Linked DNA regions of Nothobranchius furzeri. The protein of the gene in region 1 binds, or shares a complex with, the protein of each later gene. Links are inferred from orthologs where the notes say so. Each region holds a gene or a part of one and is shown on either strand. Other genes may lie near its edges. The genes, in order: drc3 and tcte1.

What was found.
Region 2: drc3 (region 1) and tcte1 share a complex: the UniProt entries of both Homo sapiens proteins name them as parts of the nexin-dynein regulatory complex. The link is inferred for Nothobranchius furzeri from reciprocal best matches to the Homo sapiens genes DRC3 and DRC5.

What each region holds. Positions count from the first base shown.
Region 1 is NC_091752.1:55,521,810-55,537,870, reverse strand, and holds the start of drc3 (dynein regulatory complex subunit 3), read right to left. Parts: upstream 14,179-16,061; 5' UTR 13,115-14,178; intron 12,338-13,114; coding exon of another isoform or gene 12,286-12,337; exon of another isoform or gene 12,180-12,285; intron 11,777-12,179; exon of another isoform or gene 11,636-11,776; intron 11,362-11,635; 5' UTR 11,352-11,361; coding exon 11,210-11,351; intron 11,128-11,209; coding exon 11,011-11,127; intron 10,930-11,010; coding exon 10,763-10,929; intron 10,663-10,762; coding exon 10,516-10,662; intron 9,772-10,515; coding exon 9,685-9,771; intron 9,606-9,684; coding exon 9,495-9,605; intron 9,401-9,494; coding exon 9,224-9,400; intron 1-9,223. Other genes in the region: TOM1-like protein 2, read left to right, coding at 12,286-12,337, 15,035-15,119. UniProt on the Homo sapiens protein: Component of the nexin-dynein regulatory complex (N-DRC) a key regulator of ciliary/flagellar motility which maintains the alignment and integrity of the distal axoneme and regulates microtubule sliding in motile axonemes.
Region 2 is NC_091742.1:8,363,200-8,379,360, forward strand, and holds tcte1 (dynein regulatory complex subunit 5), read left to right. Parts: upstream 1-5,592; 5' UTR 5,593-5,673; intron 5,674-5,755; exon of another isoform or gene 5,756-5,890; intron 5,891-5,970; 5' UTR 5,971-5,992; coding exon 5,993-6,098; intron 6,099-6,204; coding exon 6,205-6,764; intron 6,765-7,124; coding exon 7,125-7,574; intron 7,575-8,154; coding exon 8,155-8,238; 3' UTR 8,239-8,577; downstream 8,578-16,161. Other genes in the region: E3 ubiquitin-protein ligase rnf8, read left to right, coding at 994-1,029, 1,300-1,469. UniProt on the Homo sapiens protein: Component of the nexin-dynein regulatory complex (N-DRC) a key regulator of ciliary/flagellar motility which maintains the alignment and integrity of the distal axoneme and regulates microtubule sliding in motile axonemes.

The DNA.
Region 1 (16,061 bases):
CTACGTTGGTCTCCAGTTTCTTCTGAGCGTGCGCGAACGTAGCTCTGAGGTGTGTTTTCAAGTCTGCCACATACTGATGAGCGGTATAGGCAGTGGCAACACTGACATCCTCTGGGTGATACAGGAGGTGCAGTGGTAGAGTCATCAGTCTGCCGGTCATCATCTCAAAGGGCGTAACCCCAGTGGATCGCTGTGGAGTGGACCGTATGGCCATCAGGACCAGAGGGAGCTTGACGTCCCAGTCCTTCCCAGTGGAGCAGACGTACTTTTTGAGCATAGAGACGACCGTGCGGTTCATCCGTTCGACCTGTCCGGATGACTGTGGGTGATAGGGAAGGTGGAATCTCACTTCCACTCCCAGAAGTTCAAACAGGGACGTCATTACACTGGATGTGAAATGAGTTCCTCGGTCAGAGTCAATGCAGAGTGGAAGTCCCCATCGACTGAAAACGTGGTTAATCAGCAGTACAGCGGTTGTGACGGCTGTATCGTTTGGCGCTGGAAGGCACTCAACCCACTTTGTGAAACTGCAAGTTACAGTTAGCATATATTTGTTTCCTCTTGCCGATTTGGGAACCGGTCCAACCCAGTCGATCTGCAGGTGGGACCAAGGGAAGGTTATTCCCCTGCGTTGCAGTGGTGCTCTAGCAAGCGGCTGGGAGGGTTGAAACTGGGCACAGATGAGGCAGCCTTGGACATAGCTGTGTACGTCCTTGGACATCGACGGCCAATATGCTACTTCTGTCAGTGACGCGAGGGTAGCTTTTGCTCCGCGGTGACCTCCAACCGGAGTGTCGTGGGCGTAGGCAAGCATCACTCCTCTGTGGTCGAGTGGAACAACCCAGCGCGGCGGGCTGTGATCGTCACGCATGTAAACTAACAAATCGTTTTGTAGTTTCAGGTGCGTGAGTTGACGATGCAGGTTTACCAAATCTTGGCTTGCACCAATAGGTGGTGATGGTTGTTTAGACATCGGGCCCTTTTGGAGAAGCTCGCGGATGAGCTTCAGGTCAGGATCTTGTTCCTGCATGGTGACTAAGTCCGCGTCCTGTGGTTGTCTGCCTAGAAACACGGGTACCTCAACGGTCCGAGGTTCGTCTGCCTGTTTAGCATGGCGACGAGTAATCGCGCAGACCTTGTGAACGGCCTTGGGTGGAAGCCACTCGTCTTTGAATTCCCAGCAGGTTCCCTGGTCAGCACCGAGCTTAGCAAGGCGGTCAGCTTCGTCATTACCATCTTTCTCTGGACCTAGGGTCCTGGAGTGACCTTTGACCTTTTTCCAGTAGACCATTATGCCTTTCTCAGTGGTGAGCAGATCACACGCTAGGAATAACTCCGAGTGTTTCACGTCTCTGTTCCTGGCGTTTTTCATGTGGTTCTCCTTCCACATGGGGAAGTGAGAAATGAAGCTGTGTCTAGCGTAGTTTGAATCTGAGCAAAGGACGATTTGAGTGATGTCCAAGGCTGCCGCCTGCTGGAGGGTTATCAACACTGCAGCAATTTCGGCGTACTGACTAGACTTTTGGCCCAACCGGTAGTGATTTGGTTGCTTAGTGTCACAGTCCACCCAAACGACTCCAACCCCAGCACGGAGCTGGCCTTCGTGAAGGTAGGAGCATCCATCAGTGTAAACTTTCGGAAGCCCTTGGCAAACATTCTCATCAAAGTAGCGATGATTGGATGCGGTTGGGTAGACTGCGGCAGGTGTGTCCAGGGGGCCCATGACGGAGTCAGAGTCACAGTGCTGGCAGCCTGCTAGCCCTTGTCCTAGCGCTAGCTTGGTGTTCTGACCATACTTGACCTCAATGTTGTATCCTTGGAGCACCATCATCCACGTCGCAATGCGGCTGTTTGACACTCTTCCTTCGCGAAGTCGCTGGCTGTTTAGGAAGGTGACGGGCTGATGACACGTTTCAATGATCACTTTCTGTCCACCGATGTAACTACGAAAGTGTTCGACGGCCCAGACTGTAGAGAGGAGAGCTCTCTCGCAGTCTGAGAATTGGAGTTCCACCTTGCTCAGAGGCTTGCTGGCGTATGCCACAACTCTCATGTCCTGATCGTGTTTCTGCTTCAAAGCAGCGCTCAGGCAGTGAGAGGAGAAAGTAGCCTCTATGTAGAACTCTTTATCCTTGTCTGGGTAAGCCAGACAGGGTGCGGACGCCAACTTCTGTTTTAGGAACTGGAAGGAGAGTTCTTGGGGTCTGTACCACACGAAAGGTGTGTCGTTCTGAAGCAGCTCAGTGAGGGGCCTCGCTATTTCAGCGTACTCCTCAATGAACTGCCTGGAGTAGTTGCAGACTCCGAGGAAGCTCCTGAGTTCGGTCAGATTAGCTGGGGCTTTGATGTCCTGAATGGCTCTAATGCGTCCCGCTTGGGGCTCGACTCCATTAGGGCCAACCAGCAGTCCAACATACTCCACTTTGGTTCGACACCACTGTCCCTTGAGAATCGCCAATTTAGCTCCGGCGTCAGCGAGCTGTTGCAGCACGTGACGGAGTTCGGCCAGGTGCTCCTCGAAGGTTCGACTCCTCATCAAGATGTCATCGACATATATGAGGTTCCCTCTGGAAGCAGCATCTGACATGGCTTTGTGGAGGAAGATGTTGAACTCGGCAGGTGAGTTAGAGTAGCCAAAGGGGCAGCGGTTCCAAGTATATTGGCGATTTCCAAAGGAGAAAGCCAGTTTATACTGGTCCGCCGGCTCAACCTTCATGGTCCAGAAGCCGTTGGCTACGTCAACCGTAGAGAAGAAACGAGCATCTCTGACTCTGGCTAGCTCCTGATCTAAATGGATCATAGGCCACCTGGAGAGAGGTACTTGTTTGTTCAGTGCACGATAGTCTATGGTGAGACGCCATTTCCCAGTCGGTTTCAGAACCGGCCAGATGGGAGAGTTGTAAGTGGAGTTACACTCTCTGATGATGTTTTTCTCCTTCAGCTGATCGAGGATCTCCTGGATCGACTCATAAGCAGCGAGGGGAATCTTGTACTGACGTACAAAAGTAGGAGGGGCATTCGGGTTCGTTGGAATGCGAACCGTATGCAGGTTTGTGAGTCCACAGTCCAGGGAGTCCCTGGATAAGATGGACTGAAACTCATAGAACAGGCTTCTAAGCTCTGCTCTCTGCTCCTCTGACTCCAGCGCATCCGCTTTGTCAAGCTGCTGGCTGACTTCGGCCTCGAAGCCGTCATAAGGTTCAGAGGAGGAGGGTCTCTGGTGTTCGGGGCTTTCAGCCGGTGACTCAGAGGGTTGAGTATTTATTGCAAAAACCGTTAGACACTGACCACCGTCAGTATCTAAGGTTGCACTGCAAATGGGTTCCTCAGGAAGGGCTTCATGCCGCTTGATGGTAATCATTTGTGAAGGGAAAGTACTGAATGTGTCTACACCAACCTGTCTGTCGTTCAAGAACAACGGAAGTTGTCCGATCACGGGGACTGACAGTTCGAAGTCATGGAATGAGCTATCTATCAGCATGCCCAAGGGCTTTCCTGCCGGCATGTGGATAGGACTCCGGGTCGGATTTTCGACCAACAAGTAGGCAGAACGATTGTTCAGCTCCAAGAGTGGCGTGCCACAGACGGCTAAGTTGAGCTCCAAGAAGTGCGGTGATGGCTGGAAGAAGGCCTGTGTGCCTGGCAGCTTCTGATGCTTCATCAGAGTCAGACGAACAGGCACCCCTTTGACCAATGGGGGCAGAACCGTGCTGGCTTCAACCACTGCACGGCAGGCCTGTGGAATGGCCTGACCGGACAGCAAGTGTTCAGGGCCTTCTGAGCGAGGCTCAGAGGATGGTGTGGCTCGGGCCCAAAGGACTTGATTGCAAGTGTCCAGCTGGGCACCGAGTCGAACCAGCAGATCTGCTCCAATGAGTGCAGGTGGATCAAGCTGTGGTATGATGCTGAATGTATGTGTGAGCTGTCTTGCTCCAAGTTGGATAGTCAGAGAGCAGACCTCTGGCGCTTTCAGGAGCCTCTGCGGCCAAGTAGGTGACAAGAGCCGATGGCTACGTGTCACACTGACCAGAAGGGGGTCCTTCTGACGCAGGTGTTCAAACGTCTGCTGGCTGATGGCTGACTTTTCAGACCAAAGAGCAAGGCGAGCATCTGAGATGTGGGTGCAGTTGATGGTAAGACCACCAACTATGTGTGGTGCATATGGCTGCAGGCTGACGTTCTTCAGCGAGCAGAGAAAAGATGAATGTGTGCGGAACGGAGTTCCAGGAGCGGTTTCATGCCTTTGCAGGCGGACATCGTCTGTGGGAGCCGTAGGGAGGGGCATGACCTTGGAACAAGGGTTTTGCGGCTCACTTATGCTGACCTCAAGAATGGAGGATGGTCGGCTGCTATCTGGGTTCCAGGGCTTAGGTGTGTCCACCTGGGCCCACAGTTGACCCTTCTGGCAGTCGATGAGGGGAGCTAGACGTTCAAGCAGGTCCTGACCAATGAGAAGTGGTTCAGTGTCTAGCTGGCAGACATAAAACGGGTGAACCAGAGTCATGTCTTGGAAGGTGATATCCAGCCACGCCCGGTGAGTGATACACTCCCGGGTCTGGGTGTAGCTGGTGATTTTCAGGTCACAGGGTTCTACCTGGACTGGTTTCCCGAGCGACCGCATGGTGTCAGACACGCGATGGAACAATGTGGAGCACATCAGGGTGATTTCTGAGCCGGTATCCAGCAGAGCATCAACCTGTATGCACCCACCTACGTTGGTGCTACAGTACAAACGGCGAGCATGATCATGGTTTGTTAAGTCACCAAGGAACTTCAGAAATTTAGTATCAGGTTTCTCTGGGGGGTAGATTTCAGGAGACTCCTGTGATCTACCAGTAGTGTTCCCCCAGCTGATCAGGTAGGTCCTGGCCACGCTGGGAGGTTGAGCCACGCCTAGTCATGCGGACGTTGGCTCTGGGTCTGGCTTCTTAGAAGAAGACTTTGGTGCAGGGGTCTCTCCTGCAGATCTCAGCTGTTCCTTCTGTTTAGCTAGGAACTGCTGAAACATCTCCTGGAGGTCGGCTTTGGTCAAGTACTCACCTGCGGACTTGTGTTCGGGACCTACCTGTGGGCGGCGCTCCTTAAACCTTCCACTGTTCCAACCTACCTGCCGTTGGTTTTGGTTGGGCCACTTCCTGTCTGATTGTCCAGACCTAGGCGGCCAATCAGCACCCCCCTTTCCCTGTTGAGGAGATTGGGACTGCTCTCGCGGTTTAACAGGTCTAGGTTTAGCAGATTTTGGCTTAGTGGGTGGAGCTTCTGTGCCTTCGAGCTCCAAACGCGGCTCGGCGTCGGGAGCAAGGTGCATGACGCGGTGATGTGCGTCAGGCTTTTGGGGCTTTCCGCCGGCTTCCCAAGCCTGTTGAGCGTATCTCCTAATCTCCTGAGTTGTCAGTTTTTTCATCCGACAATACATTGAGACTTCGGATCGAACACACTCGTGCAGGTTGTGAATGAACAGGGATCTGAAGGCAGGGTCTTCCTCGAGCCCAGGGCCGTTTCGACCTTGGAAATAAGCACTTTTGAGTCGGCGATAATACTCTCTGGGGGGTTCGTTCCTCCCGTGTTTGATGGAGAAGGCCCCCATTGTAGCTGACGCAGAGTCTGCATACGTGGCGTATTCATCTCTCAACGCTCGGCAGAGCGAGGAGTACCGATCTCGAATGTCAGATGGTAGAGTTTCCATGAAACCGTGCACCGTTCTAGATGTGGTTTTCCAAATTAGCTTGAGCTTTTCCCTTGAAGAGGGTGCTGGAAGATCAAGCAGACAACGTTCTATCTCCCTGAGATAATCGTCGACGTTGGATTCATTGGTGTTAGGATCAAAGCGTTCTATGTCTTTAGCTATCGATTCAATTTGACGTACACGGAGCCCTGACTCACGGTACGGCGCGTCATCCTCTGACTCTGACCCACGGTCTGTCTCAGAAGGCGCTGGATATCGCTGGTGTGCTCTGGGCTCCCAATGTTGACTCCTGGGGCCCAAATCGGGGTTCGGCATGTTGTGGCGGGCTGCTGGCACGTCACGTGGGTGTCTTGGGAGGTCCTCCTCCCGGGGCACGTCTGCGTAGTGCAGCCTGCGTCTTTCAACTGGGGCTTCTGCGTAATACGCTCTGTCCGGGTACGGACTGGCGTATGATGCTTGGTCATGCAGCTGGTTATCGGCATGCCGAATACCGGAGTAGCTAGGATGGGTGGATGGTTGAGGTGCAGCTTGGGGTGCATAACCCCAATCGGCACCTTGCACCCTTCGTGGACTGGGGGAGCGGTCTAAATAGAGGTGCCGCTCAGCTGGTCGACTTCTCACTGATTGAGAAGGCCGTGAAGATGAGGGTGGTGGTCCAACCTGGGGTTCGAGGGCGAATTGCCCTCGGCCCCTAGGTGGTCCTGAATGCCCTATAGTGTGTGTAGGGAACGGGGCCGAAGGTTGGGACAGATAAGCTTCATCTCTCCCCTGCGGCGTGCGTCCGTCCAGAGAGTCATGGTGTTTCCCCCCTTCCCACTGTCTGTTGTCATCAGCAGAGGGGGGCGGGGTCTCCTCCCCATCTTCCCCAGAATCGGTGCGGGTGTCGTCTTCCTCGATCAGCCTTCCATTTCGCTGTTTTTCAGCTAGCATACTCTGGAGGTTCATGATCTTCTGACCACGTTGGAGTCCTCTCTGATAGAGGATCAGGGCTAACTTAGCCAAGTGAACCTGGATTGGTTTAGTACCATCCGGGTTTTCTATTTGATCAATTACAGCTTCTAGCTCGTCGCTACGCTGTTCTTCAGTGAAATCCCTAGAAGGGTAGTCGGGTTCTCGAGCAACCGCGACCAGTTTGGACAATATTTGTCCAGAAAGTAGGCCAGGTTCATAGTCGTGGGCCGCAGCGCCACCTGGTTGCTGGGAGTTGGTCAGTTCACTACTCTGTCCCTCCATTTTTAACAACCGAACCAAAAATAGCCTAGTAGAGCTTCTGCAGATAGCTCAAAGCTGCACCTTTTGGCAGCAACTGCTAGTTTTGTAGCAGAAAAACACTAAATTAACCTTTGTGCGCACAGGTTTTAGCGTTTTAAAATTGCACGGACTGCCGTGACTGATGCTTAAAATACTATTCCTTTCAGTATTTTAGCAAAAGCTGGTGCGTTGCCGTAGCAACGTCTTACAACACTTGCAGTGTTAAATATGCTAGTTATTCCTTCAGAATATTAGCAAACAAGGTGTTATCAGTCTTTGAGTGAAGGTTTCAGTTAGTTACAATAGCCACTGTGAGTTAAAGTCGCTAAATTAGCAGTTAATTTTAGCCTAAAAGGGTTAGTCAGAATTACTTACATGCTGCACCTTTAATGAGGAACTGAATTTTAACCTAAAAGGTTAGCCAGAATTAATTACACGTTGCACCTTTAAGGAAAAACTGAATTTTAACCTAAAAGGTTAGCCAGAATTAATTACACGTTGCACCTTTAAGGAAAAACTGAATTTTTAACCTAAAAGGTCAACCAGAATTAATTTACACGTTGCACCTTTAAAGAAGCACTGAGTTACTGGTGAGAGTTCGATGCAGCTTCCTGCTCAGCGAAATCAGCACCACTCTGTTGCTGGTTCAAGGCTGAACAACGGATTATTTTTAATTCAAGCTCTTTGGATTTATTTGTTTGTTTGTGCCGGATAGAAATCTCTGTGTATCCAAGCCTCACACGGGGCACCAATTAAAATGTTGGGGTTATTAGGAGCGAACAATTCGCAAGCGTTAACTTACTTTTGGATTCTTCAATAAATTCTGTAAATATGTAAATATTTACTGATTTATTAATTAATTAAGATATTCTTAGATATACGGGGCACCATTCCCCTTTTTCCGGGGAAAAATTGAATCCAAAACTCTTATCAGTCTTTCTTGAAGTTCGTAGAATCCTTGGAGCAGAGACTTCTCTTCGACACAACAAAGCTACTGGACACAAAAATCTGAATTTTATAACATTTAATTAACAATTTGTCAAATGAATAAACAGTGGAATAGATGAATAATAACCGTGTGATATGATTGAAGATGGATGTGTTTGCATGTGATGGAGGATGTATGAATGGGGTCCTTTGTTCTCACAAAGGAGTAGTGTGTATGTGTGTGTGTGTGTGTGTGTGCGTGTGTATGGATTCAAAATGGAGTCTTGAATACAAGATGGCTGACCCCTTTGTCTGGCTAAAGTGTGGGTGGCAACTTGCACTTTAACTTCCAAAGCACTTAGAATCAGTAGTAACTTAACCTTAAATCACTCAAAACATTTCAAAGGATCATGCAACAACACAAAAGATTAATCACGAGTTAATATCCTTAGTTTATCAGCCTGGCCATGGCCGAACATTTAAAGATACCAAACAATGATTAATAAGCAGTTTATTCTTCAAAATGACCCGACGGACGTGTTTGGGACGAAAGAGGAAAACACGAAGCTACTTTTTAAGCAATAGACGCGGTTTATTGCTTATTTGAGACTATAGAGGAAACGGGAGAAGAAAAGGAGAGAAAAAAAATGAGTTTCCTGATCACCAAAGCAGCAAGGCGTCCCCCGCTGTTATGACTTGACGGTTCTCCGTTTTTCTCCGCAGTTTCCGGCGTCATCCGTCGGTTTGATGCTTTCTCCGTTGTTTGGCGTTCACGAGTGTTTCTCCACGGGCTGGACAGAGACAGCAAAGTTTCTTTCTGTGCTGAGTTATAACTTACAGCGTTTCTGAGAGCTGGATGGAGTTGTTGTTTCCCTCCGCGGGTTCTGTGTCCTCAAACATCAGCTGGAGGGGAGCAGAAACGAGCAGATCAGCGGTCCCGTGGGCTCAACTTGGCTCTTAGAGCTTCCGCGTGCTCAAAGAAGTCGGAACGTTCGACAAGCGTGTCCTCACCGCCAGGTATCCTGGGCAAAAGAACGAGGTTTCTTTGTCTCTGCTGAAGATTTATGGTCTTAGTTCGCGGGAAAAGTCCACGGCTTCCCGCACATGCGCAGAACGTGTTTCTGGTACTAGGCGGTGACGTCACCCAATGCTTCCGTGTGCAAAGCATCATGGGAAATGAAGTTTCTTGGCGCTGATGTGATTATTTGCTTTCCAGAGCAATTTAAGCACAGTCATTTTGGAGAAAATCACTGCATAGTAATTTCCTCATGAGGTCAGACCCTCAACACCATCTATAAACACATTGGTGGTGCACTGCTTTCCCTCAATGATGTCTTCTTAAAAGCAGAATCTACTTGCCTGTGTGCGCTGTTCATCAAACTCTGCGAGTATCTGAGATGTCTTCTGCTTGTAGAATGTCTCCACCTCATTCTGGCCACTGTAAAAGGACCTCAGCTCTGTCTGTCTGCACCTGTGCTCAGCCAAGCCCACTTCAAACAAGTGCAAACACAGCTCCTTCATTTGGACCTCTAATGTAAGCGCACAGTCAAGGACTCAATAGACGATTTGATCGTGGTTTACTGAGTGTTAAATAAAAACATTGACTAAAAATAAAGCATCAAAGATATGTTTGAAGCAGTGGAGCAACTTCTGGGAGGCAGTGTGGTCTCAATACTTCTGGATTGTCTTTAAACAGGCTGTTAAACAAACTCGAACCATCAATATCCTCCACAAAGGCATTCTATGAAAACAAAACAAAACAAGAATAACTTGAACTGCAAAAAACCTCATTAAATGTTGTACATATTTTTTATTTTGACCTCAGCTTCAGTTCTTTGCTGCTTCTGATTTTTCCGTTTTGCAAGTTCATGGAGCTGCTGCTGGTATTTCATGGATGCCTCTTCTCTCTGTAGAAACACATTTGAGGATAAGTAACTCGGCAATAAAAGAATATTGATATACGCGTGCTTTTAAAGGTGTGGGAAACTTGTTTGATCAATACGCGTAGTGGTCTCTGGTAGGAATGAATGCCAAGAGCCCAAAAACACGGACCAGCACCGACAAGTCTGCTGCAGCAGAAAGTGGCACAACATGCCAGGTTTTGGAGTCTTATTTCCTGATATTTGGTTTTCTCGCCTTGGATTGGATAATAACAACTCAACTCTACCACTTGCAATGTGGATGTATTATCTCCACGCAAGCCTGGAGGAGTTTTTCCTGTATGGCCGTGTTGCTAATGCTAATGGTTAGCTTCTACTAGTCGGATTGTTGGCTTCCTGGATGCTAAAACTACAACACTCTTCCCTGTAGTGAGTCAAGTCAGTGTGACGTCGATCTATTAGCCTTTACAAATCCTAGATTTTCTCCATCTATTTTCTAATGCAGGAGACTATTTTCATGTTCAGCCTGCATGAAAAACATACAGTGACTGATTATAATCAGAAATAATAATTAAAAAAATGTTTTTTCAGTGTTCCACACTTTTAACTAAAATGATGTTCCTTCGGACTCAATACAAGCTGAATCCTACTGTTCCTTAATAATATAAGAAGGGGCCAAAAGAAGAGAAAACGTTTCCTCAAGGGGATCAAAAACATGTAAGGAAGGATAAGGAGTTAACAAAAAGATGTGCTACAATCATTTGTACTTACAATCTCTATGTTAATCAAAGTGTCGTCAAGGTATCTTAGCTTTGGCAGAAAGGCTACAGAGAACAAAGTGTATTCTTCTCCATCACTGACAGGATTTCCAACCATGTAGAGTTCGTACAACTTCTTCATCCTCGTAAGATAGAGTACCTTTAAAATGCATAAGTTGTGGTAGTGCAATATTTTACTCCAAACTACAACTTTTACAAAATAATCTATTTTAGTCCTCACTCAGGAAGGGAAATCTTACATTGTCCAGGTCTTTGATGAGGTTGTTTGCAACGAGGAAGTGACTCAGGTTCTGTAGTGCATCCATGTTCTCCAAGCGAGAGATATTGTTGTTGGATAAATTCAGCACTTCAAGCTTTTTCAAACCATCCAGGCCTTCAATTTTTGTGATTTTATTGTAGGACAGATCTAAAAGAAAGAATCTAAACGTGAGCATTCCACTGATCAGATTCTTACCAGTGTACACACATTCATGACAAGATTCCTCACTGAGCCAGGTGAGATTATAGAGGCTGTCCAGGCCCTCGATCTTCTCTATCAGGTTGTGAAACAGGTCAAGTTTGACCAGAGATGTGAAGTCGTGTAGAATGTCAATCTTCAGGATGTCTGTAAACAAATCAGCTCACACATAACCAGACACAAACACCTCGCATTGATCGATTAGTCGATTCAAATGATCTGTTCTCACTTTTCAGGTTCAAGTGTAACTGACTGATATCACTCATGTCAACAGTTTGTTTGCCTCCACAAAGTTTCTTGATGTTTAGGGCTTCATCCCTTGTTGCATCCATCAGCATTCGCGTGTTCATCAGAGTGGGCTGTGAATTCATCACGTTTATCCTGTTTGGAAATAAACACACACTGGGCTTTAATTTACACCCTAAGTTATTGTGTTAAGTTAAATTTGTTCAGTTAAAATTATCATAAATATTGGACGATGTGTAAAGGACTGGCTCTAACAGTAGCGTATACGGAAACGTCTTACGAGATATTAAACACGTTATTACAAGAAAGTTTCTTGTTAATACGTAATAACGAGGTACTGATCCTTCATTTTCCCCTCCGCGCTTCCCCAGCTTGTGTGAGAATCGAATATTTTAACAATAATACTCACCACTGACAACTAAAAAACGTAGTCACCGCTCTTTTTTATAGGTATAGTGGGTAAATAAACGTTTAGACCAACGGATTACACGGACAGTACGCCTTGTTACTTGTTACTTAGCAACAAGTAGCGTTTCAGATGCGTTCAGGTACGTCTAAGACAAAGTGTTAAAATAAAACATCAACCTGTTCCACTATTATGTAGGTTTGATTGCGACATTAACACAACTTAAAACTAAACTTAGTTATCAACAATGACTTTATGTACATTTAATTTCAGTTAACATGTTTTAAAAGACCAGTACTCGCTAAAATATTACGATTCTCTTGTCGTTTTATTTACGAAAATAATTGATTTTCATAATTTTAACGCTTTGGCAAATTGTTTAACTTTAAACCGGTGAAAGGATTATTTAAAAAAAAGAAGGAGCAAAATGAGATTTCGTAGAGAAAAACGCGTTTTGTTCTAATATAGCTTGGAAAACTTTGTTGACCAGAGCTTTAGGATACCAATTATGACTGACAATAATTTTAACCAATTGAATTGAAGCTTTGCGTTTTTCGTCCAATAGGGTCTTTGTGTAGGCGGGGCCTACAGGTACCGCCGCGGCCTCTGGGCCTCAGCCCCTGTCATTCCCAAGCGGATCGTTTGTTGTCAAAATGGACTTTTTACTTGGAAATCCTTACAGCACTCCTGTTGGCCAATGCATAGGTACGCCATTCGTCAATGTTTTGCCAAATTATGTGGCGCTTTCTCTTTAGAGCATATTTTTAAACGTACTCTTCGTATGAGCGGAAAAAGCGAGCTGGCTGGCATCTTTTCTAGCAAACGTCATCTGCGTGGAATGAGCTCCCAGCTAATGTGTTAGCTAGCACCTCTAGATAACTTTCGTCCGCCGCTAACAGTCACTCACAAAAGCTCTATGCGTTTGTTTGTCTTAAAACTTTCCAGGGTGTGTGTTTTTAAATAAAAAGTGTGGCTCTGAGATTACGCTAATGTTGCTGTCAGTCCCTGAACGATAGATGGCCAGATTCCTTGGTCAGCCTTGTTGTCCTGAGCTAGAAACCTTCACGTTCTTGTCCAGCAGATATGAAACAAAGCATGTGTGAGTCTAACACATTCATTTGTTGTGACTTCATCAGTTAGCACAACCTTAGATTAGGTCAGTTGTTACCAGTGTCTGATCGATCATTTATGCAAATGATGGAAACGACCTATTTTTTTTACATGAACCATAATCAGAAAGGCTTTGAATTGACTTTATTTTCACTTTTCTTTCAGTAACAGTGTTATTGCTCGTCTTCAGCATTTCCTAGAGTTGTCTCTAGATCTCTGCAGTTCATCCTCTCCAGGCTGAGGCTTTATTTAATCAGATTTCTGTTGCCCTGATAGTAATTTGTACTCTTCAACGGAGAGGACAAGTCATCATTTCACCTGGCTTAAAGAAAGGAGACGCTTCATAATATGACTAACAAGAGTTTAACTTACTGAAACAAGTAGATGAAGGGAAGTCACTAAATACTATAGAAAACACAGGTGCCGACCGGTGGTGCTGACAAGTTAAATAATGGAAGGATGAGGCTTGAAAGACCATAATGAAGAGAGATGGCTCAGAGAGGGACTTTGCAGCTTTTGTTGGCAAGTGCTTGGTGCAGCTTGGCACTATTAAAGCCACGTGATCACCACCGTTGTGTCAGTGTACCAGGATCTAGAAGGGAGGTGACGCCACACCATAATGAATTATTGCTTTTAACTTGTCTGCACAGCTTTAATTACTTGGGGCCATTCTTGCACATTTTACAGTTTGTTTGATTCTGTCTTCCTCTCTCCTTTCGTCACTGTCCTGCTGTGACACAACAATCCACTTGAGGAGCTTACTTGAGATGTGACTGAAGGAGAGGGTTTAATTCTTCTAGATCTACACTCGAGACTCAAAATCAATGGAGTTTAAGAGAATATTATGGCAGTAATTTCATTTAAATATAAAACAACATCCCTCTCTTGTACTTGGCTTGTCTTCAGATGATTAGAAAGTAAAACTTTTTTTAAAATAAATCCTTTGTTTACATTTATGAAGGTGTAAGATTCTTTGTTATTTCCTGTCTGTAGCTAAAATTAGCCTTAAACAATGGTGTGGAATGTGAAACTTAGACTAGTGTTGTGTGGCTTCTGTTTCTGACCATTATTACAGGTTATGGCTGAGTACACAGCCACATCACATCGAGTTTATACGTCTTTTTACACAGTCCTCACATTCCTGCTTTATTCTGTCAACTTACTAAAGTTCAAAGCACGAGGTTGAAGCCCAGAGACTATGGATGTTCCGATCATGTTTTTTTTTGCTCTCGATCTGATTTTGAGTCTTTTAATTTTCAGAATCTGCCAATACTGAGTCCCAATCCGATACATGAATACGAATGCATTAACGATACGAAATGCATTAAGAAAAAAGGAGAACACTATAGAGTTCTTTCTTTCTGTATTTATGACATTTATTTATTTTATCCGCTATAAAACATCACTTGTTTAGGAAGTACAAGAAATGCTCTGGACGATGCCATATTAGACGCCATGTTTCCTTCTATGGGAGCCGGTGAGGATGAAATGCATTTACCGATTTGTAACAAATGGTTATAATGTGGTGCGCGTGGTTCTGACTGCCATATGCATCGCTAAGAAAACTATCCTCATGAATTGGAAAAATAGAGATACTCTTTGCATTAACCAGTATAGAAATCTTTTGTTAGATCATATTACACTTGAGATAGCTTCTGCTTCCGCTTCAAACCAATCTCACTGGGCTCCTTTGATCGGTTCCATTATATGGCGATGATAGGGGGTCATTGATATTGTCCTGCGGGTTGATGTGGGTGATGGGGCGGAGGGTCTGAGTTTGGAGTATCCAGACGTTCCCTGGAGGTGGGTTCACTGGGGCTGGGGGGCTGCTGCCCCCCTCTGGAAGTGCTTGGGTTGCCTTGGGGGTGGACTGCTGGCGGCTGTGAGTGGGGCCCCTTGGAGGGTCTCGGCGGTGGCCATGGGTTGCTGCCTGGCGGCTGCATCTCCCCTGAGTAGGTCTGGGTGGGGGCCTGGGGGCTCTGGGTGTGGGGGCAGCGGGTCTCGTGTGGGGGGGTGAGAAGCTCGGTCACCCAGGAGGGGCTCGTAGTAGATCTGCTGCTCCTCCACGTCGAGAGGAGCCAGTTAAGGTCACTCGGGCATCTGATTAGGATGCCTCCTGGACACCTCCCTGGTGAGGTTTTCCGGGCACATCCAACTGGGAAGATACTGTAATTATTTGATTTAAAACCAACATTTTGTTTGTTGATGGTGTACACTGTATCACTTTATGATCATAAAACAATATATTTATGGCTCTGCTTGGTTTTTTTGTTGTTGTGTGTTTTCCTCCAGAGCGAGCCACCGATGGCGGTCTGCAGAGTGAGGACTGGAGCCTCAACATGGAGATCTGTGACATCATCAATGAAACGGACGAAGGGTGAGCAGGAAATAATTCATGTTTGGAATATTTTCAATCTCCTTCGTGTCGGATCACTGCGGATATTCAACTTCAGAGGGCCGTTCTCGTTACAGCTTGTCATGAGACTGGCTCGTGTCAGACTGACACCAGATAATACACTAACTACTGTCCATCTCACACAAACGCTTTTGTTCTCCACCCGAAATTCCAAATGAATGAATGAATACGTTTAAGTCTTGGATCAGCCTCCTACACAAAGCAACGTCCAGCCTGCAGGGCTCTGCTAAACCCGATCGTCACTTCTTCATAGCTGCTATTTCTACTCAGAGGCCAAAAGGATTTAATTCAATCCTGAAGTAAGTTTGAGAACAAAGGTGTCAGTTAACACATCGAACGTTTGGATAAAGGTGGCTTCAGATCCAGTAAATGTCACCCTTAATAATAAATAAAGGTGTGAAAAGGTTTTCTATCGCTTTCTCTAGTTTCACATTCCTCCCTCCTCCGTCTTCACACGCGACACGCAACCTTCTCCGTCACCTCGGAAACGCAGAACATCTTTAAGACGAGATGTTCAGTTTAGACAAAATAAAACGGAACCAACTGGTGACCTCTGGAGCTCCTGATTCAGGAGATTGTGTTGCCTTAGCACACACTTCTGGTGATCAGCTTTTTAAACGGCGTGACGACAGATGGTGCGAGAGCAAAACAGATGCTCCAAAGAATGTTTCCACACGTTCATGTTCAGTTTTCTTTGCACGAAATGTCCGTCACCGTCCATCTTTACTGGTTTTATTAGCCTTAATAAGTAACCTGGACTGTATAAAAGAGCTGATGAAGTCTTTTTTATGCCTCGTCTTCTCTGAGGAGAAGGGGAGCGTCGGGCATAGAGCCAGCCCGAACTCTTGATGCGTGGACAGCTTTGATCTCGCCTTGGGAGAAACATTCTGTAGTCGCGCAGAA
Region 2 (16,161 bases), on another chromosome or scaffold:
TGTAGGTACTGATCAGAGCGGATCAGTTCAGGTACAAACAACACAGGGTCATGTGACTGAAACCAAGCGACTGGAGTGGGCAGCCCTAGGATTGTCGTTCTTGAGACCAACTGCAGAAGGGAAGAAACTGTTCTTGTGTCGAGAGGTTCTGGTCCTCCTGCCAGATGGGAGCGAGTCGGGTCAGCTGTTACCGACCTGCATGCCTCAACATCCTGGAGGTGTTCAGGTCCTGTATGGAGGAGAGTTTGCAGCCAATGACCTTCTCAGCAGAACGCACAACACGCTGCAGCTCCTTCTTGTCCCTGGTGGTAGCTCCAGCATACCACACGGTGATTGAAGAGGTGAGGATGGACTCGATGACTGCGGTGTAGAACTGCCTCATCAACTGTACTGGTAGGTTGAATTTCTTCAGCTGCCTCAGGAAGTACATCCTCTGTTGTTATGGGCTTTAGTTGTGACAGAGGTGATGGTGGGCTCCCATTTGAGGTCTTGGGTTAAAGGCCCGTGTTATTTGTGAAGATAAAGTATCAACGTTGCAAAGCAAATGGAGTCAGTGGTAGATTTACATTGATTGTATCCAATCAGAGGTGAGATGCCCAAATATCAGAATCAGATGGGTTTTATTGCCATATGTGCAAAAAGTCACAATAGGAAACTGCTACGGTACTTGGTGCAAAAAGAAAGATATATAAAATAGGATTTAAAGTAAAATGTCAGAAAGTATGACTCCAAAACCTGCAGTCCGCAGCTCTGCTGTGATGTGGCTCACTTCTAGTTCCTGGAAATGGTGCACCGGTGTTTATTGTCACCTCCCACTCCCCCTACAACTACAAGTCATTCATTGTCAATGTCGTTGTATGTATGTCTGATCTCAGAATTGTGTGTACTGAAACTCTCAATTTCCCTCTGGGATTAATAAAGTATCTTTGAATTGAATTGAATTGAATTGTATTCCCACTCTATAATATTTTTGCTGTTGTTTTCTTGTTGCAGGTGAGTCGACTGGTGAGCGCAACGCCATCCGATCAGGTCAGCAGAGACACTTTAGGGTTTTTCCACACTGAGATTCATTCTCTCATTCAGGCAATAATAGTGATTAAAGAGTAATGAAACTCATGACAGTCTAGTTAACATCCTCTGTGATGCTGAGCAGAATAAAATATTTCAAACACAAGATGGCAGCAGAGCAAGGAGAAACACCAAAGGTGTAGCGAGAAAAATACCCCCCCCCCCCCCCCAAAAAAAAAAGCTGTAAAGGTTAAATAATTTTCTAAGAGACGCTCACCTTGTGTTTTCCAGCAGCTGCCATCGCCGAGGTGATGGTGATCCACGACGACGACAGCAGCAGCAGCAGCAGCGACGGCAGCATGGTGTCCACATACAGCAGCTTCAGCTCCGTGGTCTCCGTGGATACCGACAGCAGTCTCCATTCAGAATCTGATGACAGCTCTTTGGAGTTTAGCGATTAACAGTTTTTTTTTTTTTTTTTCATTCTTTCTCCTTGTTGGTGGAAATGTGAAAGAACTTTTGAGCTTTCCTGGAATGTTTAGAATAAAGAGCTGATGTTTTTTTTTTTTTGTAAAATAGTTAATGAGTTTTTTTTTTCAGCAAAAGGAATAAAGTTTCTTTCTTGCATGTTTTTCATCTAACCGCTGATGAGTCCATTTTATAAATGAAAAAATTTAGATGGATCTGCTTTTTTTACTGGATTAATACAGAAAATCTTGCACAAATATTTTTAAGACTCAATAAATTCTCTTATTGACTGATATTTAAAGTCATATATGTAAACCTGTTACTAACAGCTGTTTTGGAATTTTTCATTTAATCTTTAATATTTAATCAATTTCCCTCTGGGATTAATAAAGTATTTTTGAATTGAATTAAAAAGTAAGTTAGGGAACAATTATGTTCTATTAAGTTAGCATAAATGAAACAGGTTTGTGTTTCCAGAGGATAAAGACTTATCCAGTATTAATGTTCAACCTTAAACTTGACTTTCTAGACATCTGCTGAGTCACCTGGGTGTGTCTCAAACTCAAGCTGTGATTTCTGGAAGGAAACACTCCACAGGTCACCTGAGCTCTGGCTGTTCCTGCCTCTTCAAAACACACAAGTGTATGGCAATTGTGTAATCATGCAAAAAAAGTGATGAGAAGTAATTTTTCTCTTTTTTAGTGTGTTGATGAAGGCATTCAAGCTTTAAGGTGTCAAAACAAAAGTTGCATTTAAAATGCAGATTAACATTTGCTGCATTTACGCTTAAAATGTTTTCCCCACAAATAGCAATCATAAAGAAACTCCCCATTTGCAGTAAACCCTTTTATCCTTTAAAGAGCAAGTCACCCCAAATAAACAATTTTTTTGCTGATAAACTAAATAAACAAGTGTCTAATCGTGCTGCAGACACGTGTAGTCAATAATTTGGCACTTCAGCGCATCTTAGTTAAAATGTAAATCTGCCACCGCTATTGGCTAAGAGGTATGCTTAGATGTAAACTGGTACATTATGATGTCACAGTGCTGTCGTGAGCCTGTGTGTGTGTGTGTATTTGTTGGCGGCTCCGCCTTCTCGGTCTGCCAGGCAACAGCATTTATTGCATTTTTCAAACAGGAAGTGGGAGTGGAGTGAGACTCTGGTAGGGGTTGACTTGCTCTTTAATGATTAAATGCTGTCTCTGTTGCCTAGCAACCAACGCAACAGTTTTTCTAGGCTCTGAAAGCAAATGGAAGTATGATGGCACAGGCTGTAGTGTGGGCACACATGGGGTCCTCATGCTGTGATGTGGACAGACGGTGTTTATTCTGTGTGGTTACTCCTTCCAAAAATATCTGTGTGTGTGTGTGTGTGTGTGTGTGTGTGTGTGTGTGTGTGTGTGTGTGTATTGTGTGTGTGTGTGTGTGTGTGTGTGTGTGTGTGTGTGTGTGTGTGTGTGTGTGATGGCATCATGAATAATGGCTGCATGTATCCAGCACTCCAATATGGAGTCTGTTGTTTATGTGAGGTAATTAATATGTGCTGTTTAAGAAGCATAAACTACTTTCTCAAACATTCAGATTATTTTAATTATTTATGACTGAAACCAGTTTTTTCTCACAAGACAACTTATTTATTCTGATTTATGTCACGCTAGTATTAATCTTTCATGTGGAAGGTTTTACTTACACATTAGTAATTTTCAACATTCCATTCAAAAATACTTTATTAATCCCAGAGGGAAATTGATTGCTGTAGTAGCTCATAATAATAATAATAATCAAGTCATCAAAGAGTTATAGTATGGCTGTTGGCAGGAAGGATCTCCAGTAGCGGTCAGTGTTGCAGCAAAATTGAAGAAGCCTCTGACTGAAGACACTCTTCCATTGTCGGACAGTCTTGTGAAGAGAATGCTCAGGGTTGTCCCTAATTTTCTTGATTCTCTGGAGAATCCTTCTTTGCATTATCTCCTCCAGTGGTTCCACAGTCGTCCCCAGAACAGAACCAACCTTTTTTATTAGGCTGTTGAGCCTTTTCAGGTCCCTGCTTCTGATGCTGCTACCCCAACAGACGATGGCTGAAGAGATTACACTCTCAACAGACTTGTAGAAGATCTGCAGCATCTTGCTACAGACGTTGAAGGACCTAAGTGTCCTCAAGAAGTGCAGTCTGCTGTGTCCCTTCTTGTAAACGGCTTCGCTGTTCTTACTCCAGTCCAGTCTGTCGTCCAGGTGAACTCCAAGGTATTTGTATTCCTCAACCACCTCCACTTCTTCTCGCGTGATGGAAACAGTGTTTGACTTCACCCTGTTTCTTCTGGTCTAAAATCATCTCCTTTTTGTTCACGTTCAAGGTCAGATGATTGTTTCCACACCATGCCACAAAGCGCTCCACCAGCTCTCTGTACTCAGTTTCCTGTCCATCTCTGATACACCCGACAACTGCAGAGTCATCTGAGTATTTCTGTAGATGACAGGTCTCTGATTTGTACTGGAAGTCTGAGGTGTACAGGGTGAAAAGGAATGGTGAGAGTACAGTCCCCTGTGGTGCTCCAATGTTACTGATCGCCTGATTTGATGAGCAGTTCTTCAGCCTCACAAACTCTGGTCTGTCAGGTAGTCTTTAATCCAGGCGATAGTTGAGGCCCCCACCTGTGTCTTCTGGAAAACTTAAATGTAGTTAACAGAGCTACTCCAACATGCAGCCACCCAGAGCAGCACGAGATTTGGAATCAGAATCAGAAATTTAAAATTTGTATTTCGTTAACTTTGGCATAAATCAGTACTGACTGACTACATCCCTAACCTCACCTATGGTCACAAGCTTGTACAGTGACCAAAAGAACGAGTTTGCGGATACAAGCGGCCAAAATTTGTTTTCTCTGCAGGGTAGCTGGGCTCTCCTTATAGATAGAGTGAGATGCTCAGTCATCCAGGAGGGGCCTGGAGTAGATCTGCTGCTCCTCCACATCAAGAGGAGCCAGTGGAGGTGGCTCCTTGGTGAGGTTTTCCAGGTACGTCCAACCAGGAGGAGAACTAAAGGAAGACCCAGGAAACACTGGAGGGACTATGCAAGGATTATCCCAGAGGAGCTGGCCCAATTGGCTGGAGAGAGGGAAATCTGGCCCCTGCTTAGGCTGCTGCCCCATGACCCGACGCCAGATAAGCGGACGATGATGAATGGATGGAAGACAACTTTGGACATATTTCAGCTGATTGCTGTTAATGTTTTGGGAAATTTCATTATATCTTAATATATTAACACTTGGTTTTACTGATGTAAAATAAATAAATAAATAAAAATGAACAATTACAAAATATTGCTACTGGATCAGCTTTGGAATGGTTGGTCTGTTCTTTATTCAACATTTTACTACGTTATTTCTAACTTGTTTTATCATGTAGCCTTAAAGGTGACTGACACACACACACATGTTCATGAAACCGTACAGCTCCCATATGGTGAAACTCTCAAAGCTGTGATTCACTCCTACAGTGACTTCACCCAGAGTGCGCAAAAGCTCATGGTTTATTCCACAGATACTCTGGTTTAACCTTCTGTGATGGCTGACGTCATGGTGGTGCATTAAAGCGCGTGCGTGTCAGACAGAATTACACAAAATTGCAGTGATGGACTGCCTCAAGGCTTCAGTTGCTGCTTTTCATCTTCCCTGCAGAAAAACACAGATAAATTTCCGATTGTTAACAAATTAACTTTGATTATAGATTTGATTTATTGTTATGATGAAAAAAACGTATGTAAGTCATGCAATCAATTTATTATTTTAGAATATTCCAGCACATTAATTAAATATGTTAAATATATTATTCTTTAAAAAGTGGCTTTAATAGTCACATAATTGTTTTGAATGTAACTGTGTTGCATTTAGGCAAAGCTCGGAAATTCTATGCACCCCTTCTAGATGGGGTGGTGTCTGTGTTTTTTTCCCTTAAAAATGTTTATCATATTTATAAAAATCAATAAAAAGTTAATAAAAATAAAATATAAAAACACAATTATATAATGTTCTTAATGTCACTTCAGTTTGCAACATATCTGAGCCACCTTACGACAAAATAAAAACACCTCACGATACCGCAAAATAAGGTTTGGGCGTTTTGTTGCCATAGAAACGGGTGAACGTTATCCTCGTTGGTTTTTTCCTTTTTCATTTTGAAACCGCAAAACGCTTTCATGTGAGTATTAAACTCCTAAATGTTGCTTTGTTTATTTTTATTTCCACTTTAAATGTGTTTTAGACAGTAGTGAGCTGACCCCATTAAGCTAACAGTTGTTTTAAAAAGTAAAAAAAAAAATACTTAGACCGTGGTTTTTGACTCGTAGCAAACGTTAGCTAGCAAATGATTCTACTTCCAGTTGTGTCGCTTATCAGACTGACTTTTTGGTGAACAGGTCAGGAAATCTTGTCACCGAACAGACGATTAAGTTAGCTAGTTGAGCTACAGGTAATTCACTGTGTTTTTCTTCACCAGAACCTGAAGCAGCCACAGAAAGATGAGCAGGAGGATCATTGCAGAAGACACAGACTGGCTTGTGCAGGTCACAGACCCGCTCAGGTTGTCCCACAAATGTCTGCAATGCATAGTGGAAAATTTCGAAGGTATTTTGTTTGTAATAATAATAATAATAATTAGCACACACAAGATGATTTTCTATGACGTTTATGGCTTAAACTTGTTTTCTTTTTATTGTTATTATTCTTTCAGTTGCTGCAGACGAACAGATTTTTACAAAAGTCACACCTTTCCAAAAACGTTACATCCTGGAGCGACTGTCCGTGAGTCTTCCTCTTCATGTCACTTCCAAACTGGTCCCTGATGGTGTTTACTGGGAAAAATGCTGCAAGCACAGGTGGTACGTCTGTGACGTGACTGATTATGACAACAGCTGGAAACAGATGTACATCGAGAGACACTTGGGTAGTGTGATTGAACTTTTCATCCCAGGTGTGACAGAACCAAAGACAGTTCTAGAAATAATCCCGTTTTGTGATAACTTTGTGAAGAAGCTGAGCGTCTCACAGCTGCTGCCACCTTTAAAGGAGCCTCAGGTGGAGGTGAATGTGGAAGAGCTGTCGCTTGATGAGCCTTGCATGGACCACTTTGACTTTGGCCTTGTGCTTGACAAGCTGACAAACTTGGAGGAGCTTCACGTGGTTTACAGAATCAAACAATGTGGGCTGAACTTTGAACGGAAGATGCAGGAGATGACTGATGGAGACTGTATATCCCTCGCCAATGCAGTCAAATCATCAAAAACCCTGAAGGTAAATATTGATCCTTCTCCCTACGATGCAGTTCTTTTTTAGGTCCTCATCCTTGCATGGGAAGGAGGATGGGTATGCACTTCTCTGTTATTTTTTAAAAACTGTCTGTGAGTAATGATTGCAGCATTTATGGAGCAGGAAAATCAACTTCTTGTGCTTTCTGGTTGAATTTTAAAAGAAAACACATTTGAGGGGATATGAGGGTCTCAAAAAGCCTTGTTTATGTTTATAATTCATTATTCTATATGTGCATTTATATACTGAAAAACTCGTATTAATACTTTCTAGTTGCAAAACTCAGGAAATGCCATACTTAGATGAATAAGCTACATATTTTTCAACAAGCTAATACTTCTCCAGGTGCTGAGGCTCCCTGTAAGCTGTATCAATGATGAAAAGTGCTGCATGCTGATGTACCACCTTATGGACTTCCCCATCCTGAGGGAACTTGACTTATCTCACAACATGATTGGAAAGATCGGAGGCTGTGCCATCGCCAAGCTGCTCATCAGGAGTAAACTGGAGGTCCTCAAAATGTACAACAACAGAATCGGCGATGTGGGATCCAGCGCTATAGCTGAGGCTTTGTCCAAGAACCCTCCTCTTTCGTCCCTCGACCTGCGTATGAACGAAGTGGGAGACAAAGGAGGTGAGGCCATTTTCAAAGCTCTGCAGAAAAACAACGTTCTGCTTCGCCTGCACATGGGAAGCAATGGGTTAACCTCGGCCACAGTTCCCGTTCTGTCTGACATGCTGAAGAAGAATGAAACTCTGAGCAGTCTCGATTTATCTGGCAACAAGCTCGATGAGGTAAGTTGTTCAATATTTCATTGAATTTCCACCTAAACAATCGTTTCACAACTCCCAGGGTTTTTATTTAAACTTGATTTGAATTCCGTTCAAAAAGGGATAATTCAGCTATTTGGAAGGGAGTTACCAATGTACATTGTTGCTGTCTTAAAACGCCTCCAATCTACAAAAGTTCATTAGTTTTATTCAACATGCATTTTTTTTTACATGGAATTCTATTATTTACAAGAGTAAAAATCACCAGCAATGTCCAGTGCATCCAGAGATCACTTTTAGGTATTTTTAGACATGAAGAAAGTGTGTGAAAATGAGCAGAGTTAAGTGTTTTCCCTGGAGAGACAAATCCGAGTCTGAATCTTTTTCAAGCTCTCTTCTTTTACTGGAAAACGCACGGAGGATCAAAAGTCAGCCACACAGCAGAAACATAATATGCAGCACCATCAGTATCTCTGACCCTGGTCTGGTCCTCGCAAAAATAGAAACGGCTTTTCAGGCAAAACACCAATGACGACGGCCACGAGCAGTTTCAGGATCATCCGACTGGAGGACATACCAGATTTATTCCCTTTGTGTTTTTCAGGGTGGAATTTTAGGTTTGAAGACAACGATGTTCAGAAACAAGATACAGAAAGAACTAGAATTGGCGGGTCAGAGAAAGGAATGAGAGACACGCCGTCCTCCTCCACCGTCATCAACTCCGTCTCAAACCTGAAGGTCAAGGAAATATTCAAAGTGTTCAGAACTCTTAACTTTGAAATTAATTTAATTTTATGAGTAGATTTTTGCAGAATGTTGGGAGAAAATGTATGTTTCTTCTTTCAATAATTTCAAAGTTCCAAGTTTTTCACCGTTAATGTGTGTTACAGTATGTTTCTTCTTTCAATAATTTCAAAGTTCCAAGTTTTTCACCGTTAATGTGTGTTACATCAGCAAACTTTACCACAGGTTTGGCAAGATAAAACATTTTTTGCAAGCTTTTGAATAAAAAATGTTTTTTAATCAACACAGTTTTCCTCTTTATAGGTTTATAGGATAATACATATTTCATATGTGATGTTTCATTAGAGAATCCATTCGTAAATTTAGAAAGATGGAGCATTTCTTTGAATGATCATTTCTTTTTATTGAATAGAATTACTTTAAAGGGATACTATGCAACTTTTTAATATTTTTAAATCATTTCCTTAAGCCAGTATGTCGAAAAATGACCCTTTACTGGGTTAATGAAATGTTACTAAGACCACACCGCCCCTTCTGTGGCCAGAACACCAGACTTGCAACTTCAGAGTTGCCAGTCCGCTTCCTGCTGGTGGAGAAAGCCGTGGAGTGGAGCTGGAGTCTGCCTCCAGCACGTTTCCTGAATGTTTTTAGATCGTGAACACAGCTGATGTGTTTGATTTAGTGATGAACTGCTCCTGTAGACACTAATGAAGGCTGAGGAGACATTTCAGCTGTTAGATGAGGGCGTTAAAAAGACAAACACACAGGGAGGACATAAGTTTAATTTTCTGTTTAACCACAGTGAATTAATGTTGGACACTAGGAGGTGCTAAAAACAAACAAAACTGCCTAGTATCCCTTTAATCCAGGTTCATTCATTCATTCAGATATTTGATACTCAGTCCTCCCTAACATAAAGGCAGCATTGTGGTAGTACTGGAGTATATACAGACTTTATTAGTCGTACTCATGTCGTATTTTTCTAGTTTCTGGTATGTTTCCTTGCTGTAACTGAAGAAAATCCTGAATCAGAAAATCAGAAAAAGCTTTATTGCCAGCGCTCCAGCGAACCAGAGCATAGGAACTTGACTCCGCAGCACAGCCTGACCAAGGTTACACACACACATGTAGACAGAACAGATACAGGCAGACCACGAGAGCAGCCATGACGGCGGTCATTTCAATAGATGAAAAGGGGATTACATGAGGATAAATTGGGGGAGGAGAAAAAAAGGCACACCAGAGTTACTCCCGGCAGGGCGTAGCTTTACTATGCAAAAAAACGCCTCAAACATATAAGCACGAACATCAACAATTCACAACATGAGACACCGAGAGGAAGGCGGTTGGGGGGGGGGGGGGGGGGGGGGGGGGGCGGGATCCTGTTTCTCCAGCGAGAGCAGCCCTATGGCGCTCAGCAACTGTAGCCACAGGTGGGAGGGAGATCTTGGGAGGAGCGCAGAGCACATTGACACCTGCAGGTTGATGACCTCGCCAGGCTGAAGTCCACCAATCATCGGGGGGGTAGGTCGGGTTTTCACAGCATCTGTCTGCATTCCTTCGTGGGGGGTTGTTGTTGGCATTCACAAGGCTGCCATGGCATCAGATTCGGATAACAAGACATCTCCACACTGTCCAGTGACCCTCTCCGAGATGACATCCATTTTGCGCACTAATACCGGTATCGCAGCTAGAACATTGACCAGCTTACGATTCACCTCGAGTAACGTCCCAGTCTGTGAGGTCACCACATGGACGGTGCTTTCCGTGGGTGCGGGTCGCCCTCCAATCGCTCCCGTCTTCCCAAATTTCCAGAAAACCAGATATCCTCCCACTCCAATCAGAAGAAATCCAGTGATCATCAGGCCAAATATCCACACATCTTCGACATCCTCAATCGACAACTGAGACAGGCATACGATCTTCCACTCCCTCCAGGAATCGAGCATATATCGTGCTGCGTGTGTCCCTTGCGGGCAAGTGGGAGCCCCCTCCTCCATTCTCATCGTAGAAAAAATCTTGTCAATCGCGTTGAATGACCAATTAATTAAATCCATTCTAAAAAATAGGGTTTTTCAGAAGAAATGCAGAGAAGCGCTCTGTGGGCAGACAGGACAAAGAGCCTTGGGAAAAAAAAGATAAGGGAGCAAAAGCAGAAGCGTCTGTACTCTGCGAGAGCCGGAAGGTTAATATCCAAGATTTGATCTTAAGCAAGCTGAAAAACCATCCTGAATTTAAACAACCTAAACTTGTCATGTTCCCGAGACGAGGTGAGTGACACCATCTCCACTCTAACTGTGATTGAGCTGATTTCCCACAGGTGAGGAGCGGAGGGGGGTGGCAGCTGCAGGAGATCCCAGTCAGGAACTCGGGTTTAAAAGGAGGATGGAGACACCTCACTACGCCGGACGATTGCACCAGTTTAGGTAGCCCCAGCCCTTTATTCTCATACTTGTTTGCTCGCTTTGTCTCGTTTTGGATACTTGGACTTTGACCTCGGACTGTTTTTGGATTATCCCTTACGCCTGGTGTTTGTTTCTCTTCATTCAGGATCCTCACTCAACCTGCTTCACTCTCGCTGTTTTTGTACTCTGGATTCATACACCACGTCCCATCCTCCTCCGTTGTTCCTGTTGGCCCCTCTCTGCGACCTCACCCATCCCGGATCGTTCACCCTCTGCCCAGCGCTCACCTCAGCTCCCCCGCCTCCCTCATTCATCCCGAGTGCTACTTGGACTCGAGCTGCACCGCTCACACCCACAGGACTTCCCTGTGCTATTTTTGTTCCCGTTTATTAATAAAGAACTTTTCTTTTACTGAATCTGCCCAACGAGTTCTGATTCTGCATGTCTTGGGTTAGGCACTTGCCTCAAGTCATGACAAAACTATTCTGACTCCTCCCAGTTATTAATAAGCTAGGTAGGTTTGAAGTAAACGATCATTAGAAGAAGTGTATTTCTGATCTGGAACATTCAGGTGTGACACAAAAGCAAAAACAGAGTCTGAAAATGGGCAAAATACTTTTTCTCAGCAGTGCACATTTTATTTTGATTAAAAAAAGTTTTCTAAAACTGCATGCACTAAAAGTATTTTTGTGTGCATTATATTTTAACTCAATGGAATAATCCAATAACGAACGTACAAAAGATGTTCAAAGAAATCCAATGATGGTCTTTAAAGAGCAAGTCACCCTCTACCAGATTCTTACTCAATTCCCACTTCCTGTTTGAAAAATGCTACAAATGCTGTTGCCTAGCAGACCAAGAGGGCAGAGCTGCTAACAAATACACACACACACACACACACACACACAGGCTCGCAATGACATTGTGACATCATAAGGTACCATTTGACATTCTAGGGTACCTCTTAGCCAATAGCGATGGCAGATTTAAATTCAAATGCAGTGCAGAGTTTTTACCTGACGACGACACAACACTGACAGTTTTAGGCAGAAAATTAAAATTTTAACTAAAATGCACTAAAGTGCAAAACTATTGGCTACATGTGTCTGCAGCACGATTAGACGCGTATTTATACAGTTTATCAGGAAAAAAAGTTCATTTGGGGGTGACTTGCTCTTTAAATGTGTTCCCACTGTGTTTAAAAGGACATTTAGCTTAAAATATCAAAATAAGTTAGTGAGTAACATTATGAAAGTGACTGTGCTGCTAACTGCAACGTAGCAAACTCTACTTATCGTACAGTATGTACATCAGCTCTCCCTGCTGCCATAGCCTCAAAAGTCTGTGCGTGCGTGTGTGTGTGACACATTCAGCCAAGCACATATTATCATCAGCAGGTATCCCACATGCTCAGATCTCTTATTTACAGTACAAATTCCTTCATTTCTGCACAAAGATTTATACAAATGTAAAAAGCCCCAAAGCCATTTTATATAGTCCACCTGACAGACACGATAAAGGGTTTAGTGCTTTGCATGAAAAGAAGCTTTTCTTCTAACAGTCATCTTCAGAGGAAAAGTCAGAGTTATGAGTGTGTCTGTTCCATTTCTGCTCCTCCACTAATAGTGATGTAAACATTATACCAGTAAACAGTTTCTCTATGTTTAAATATCACAGTGAGGCCACCTTTAAGGCCTTTTGGCTGATGATGATGATGATGATAATGATGATGATGATGATGATGATGATGATAAATTAGTTAATGGAGTGATTTTCAAAAATCCAGCATTTTTTCAGCCTACACAAGTTAAGATGAATTTAATGTTTGTTTGTTTTTAAAGTGTGGAACACAGAAAAACATTTTGAAAATCTTATTTCTGATTCTAATAGGTCACTGTGAGGTTTTTATGCAGGCGGAACATGAAAATAGTCTCCTACACCCATCTCCTGCATTAGCTTCTGATAGAAAATAGATGATGAAACTCTAGGATTAGAAAATCCTAACAGATCCACGTCACTTTGTTACTCAGCATTCATGAACTCACGACGGGGAAGGCTGTTGTTGGTTTAGCTTCCAGGAAACAGCAGAGAACGTCTCCACTAGTAGAAGGTAACCATTAGCATTAGCAACTCCACCTCACGCCAGAATTGGTGGCTTGATAATAAAACATCAACGTTGCTGTTATTCAGTCAGAGGTGAGATGTCCAAATATCAGGGAATAAGACTCCAAAACCGGCCGTCTGAAGCTCAGCTGTGATGTGGCTCACTCCTAGTTCCTAGAAATGGTGCACTGGTGTTTTTTGCCCCCAAGTACAACTTACAAGGCATTAATTCCTACTAGAAATCACTGCAAATGTCCTGATTAAACGAGTGTTCCACACCTTTAAAAAAATAAATGATCAGTTGTGTGATTAGGATGGGGTTGTCTGTGTTTAATGACACATGCAAATCTCCACTGACTGACTAATCTGTGCTGTAACACAGGGATATTTGATTGATCTCAGTGGGTTGTTTATATTTTAGTCAGACCGCTGCTTTTTCAGTAGGTTGCTTATGAGCTCAGCTTTAAAAAGGACATTGAGAGCAGCTTGCATCAGGCATCAACACTCATTTTTAGTCTCTATAAATAATTTCACAAACTATTTTAGCGCTTGGAGAACAAGTTTGTAGACAGGAGGTATAAGTTGTAGGAAACATATCTGACATAACACATTCTGGCATGTTGTTTAATATTTCCTTTCAGAAAACAAGTCTCCAAAAAATCTTTTTTTCCTTTTTTTTTTTTTTTTTTGTTTCCCAAGCCAAAATATTTCAGTCACTATACAACAAAAACATTTTACAGGCATGGTAAAAACACCCCCCTCCCCCTTGTTTTTTGTGTTTGTACTTTTCAGAGCAGTTCTTTATGGGTAAACATCATCTCCCGGTACATTCAGCAACAGTCTGACCTTCAGGTGAACTTTCTGGGATCTCCATTCCTTGAAATACTGACAACTGTTATTACTCAACTTGAAAATAATCCTTAATAGACTCAAAATTGTTTCAAATAGAGGTCAACTGATGGTGTTTCTTCTTTTGCCCGATACCAATGCCGATATGTAGAAGTCATGGTCAGCCGATGGCTGATATGTGCTGCCCTTTTTGGTCGTTTCCACCTTACTCTCATGCTAAAATGTCACTAAAAACATCAGTTAATGCACACAATTTCTGAAGCTGAATCAGTTTTTGAAAACTGAATTTAACCAACTGTTAAATCTTAAATTTAAGCACTGCTCAGTGTTAAAATCAGACATCTAAGTAATGTTAATCAAACAATCAGTGAACTGACCTAGTATTAATTATTCAAAACTGGTTTATAAAAGGAAATTTTAGTTGAAAATCATTTTAGAGCATTTGTTTTGCAGATGTTATTCAGGAATGTAAATATACATATAAATTCAGCAACAGCTCTGGGCTGCCCAAGGATTTGCCTGTCTTTAAATAGGCTTTACTAAGGAGGTATATCGACCGATGCTGATATATTGGGTTACCCCTAGTTTGAAATTACCGTTAGCCCATCCCTAGCGCAAACACACACCTTCTCCTTTGAACAAATAGAGGACGTTTTGTGTTTTCCACACAAAGCTTTTGCTTGTTGGCTTTATTTTTGATGGAATTGAGTGTTTTTCTACTTTTAAAATTACATTTGAAGCCTTTAAAGAGACAATGTGTAGTTTTCACCATTAATCTCAGGAAATATCCATCGAAATGTTGTTGAAAATGAAAAAAATGGTGTGCATTTGTTAAAAAATATTGGCAACTTTGTACCATATAACCATAAAAACCAGGTCTGATGTACATAAAATGCAGATCTAGCGTCTTTGAGGGACACACCATGTTTCCTTCTGGCCGGCTCGGGGTACTGTGCCTGTCGAGGACGTCACTAGTCTAGATGATTTGCTGAACGTACGACTTACAGAAGTTAAATTACCATATTCAAAATCATTTAGGCAGTAAGAAACACAAATTTATTACCAAAACTGCTAAACTATTTCCAAAACAAATGTGAAAGAACAAAATCAAAAAAGAAATGCAGGATATTTTGACCGAGCGGTATTGCCGTAGTTCGACATAGTTGGCAGGCGCAGGAACCCGAGCAGATCCAGTAACTACAGCACCAGAAAACTACCATCTACATTGCATTCTCTCGATGGGATCACCTGAAGGACCATCAAAGTCTGAGGAGTCACGCCGAGGTCGCATGCTTTCTGCTCCACAGGTAACAGCATATGCTGTAATGTTTTTTTAAAACTAACAACAGTTACGGCGATATGGTGTAAAACTTCCGTGAAATGTTTGTACTGCCCCCTAGAGCCAGGAAACGACACACTGCCACTTTAAGAACATACTGAGAATCAGATCATTTTCATTTCTTAACCCTCCCACTGTCTTCATGGGTGACCCCTCCAGGAAAGTTGACCATTGAGCAGGACTGATGGTTTATCCCTTGAGGTCCATTTGGCAGGGGTGAGGAGTGAGCACCACCTCACCCCTGCCACATGGACCTCAACTTTCCTCATGGGGTCACACCCATTAGGACAGTGGGAGAGTTAACACATGAAACCATATAAATGAATGTTCTTTACCATTTTTCATACATTTAAAAAAGTGTGTCTTTATAAAAAAGCCTTTGAATTTGGTATATTCTTGCAAAGGATATCACTCAGGTGTTTGAATTTTTGGAGGAATTTTAGGCTTTGCAATTCTTTTTAATGGACTAAGTTGTATTTATAACAAAAGTGGAAATGATATACTGGAAGCAGACACATTGCTTTAAATACCATCCTGAGTTTAGAGTTGCATAGATGCAAACGCTGAAATTTGAGGTTTTTTTTCTCACTAAATCCAATGTCTGCTGTTATTTTTGACGTACTTTAATATTGCTAAGACAGCTCTGAAGATAACAGCTCACCTGAAACAGTAAATTCACCACAACAGTCCTTAAATTCCTGACTTGTAAATAAAACAATGAGCTCCACACCTGAACTTGTTCAGCTGAAATCAACAACCAGAGGAAGGATGAAGCTAAGTTAGCTAATGTTTTAGTGGCCACTTCACACACACACAGAGGGTTTATTACGGTATGTTTTACAATTTTACAGCAAAATCAAACCACTATATGTCTTTTTGATGTAATCTTGTGATTTTATTGAATTTAACACTATCAGTGACAAATTCAGGCCTCTTTAATTTATTTATTTGCTTTGTAGACCTCTGGCTGTCTTCCTGATATGCATCAGCAATACACAACTTCCGATCTAATATCAGAAAATTCATTTTTAACCAGTTTACTGTCAGATGGAAAAATTATGACAAGATTTATGAGAATAAGTGCATTTTTTACGTAGGAATATGTACTATTCTCTTGATTTTCTGGGAAGATGCCAACTTGGGATGATTTAAATTATGAAAGCTGATTCTT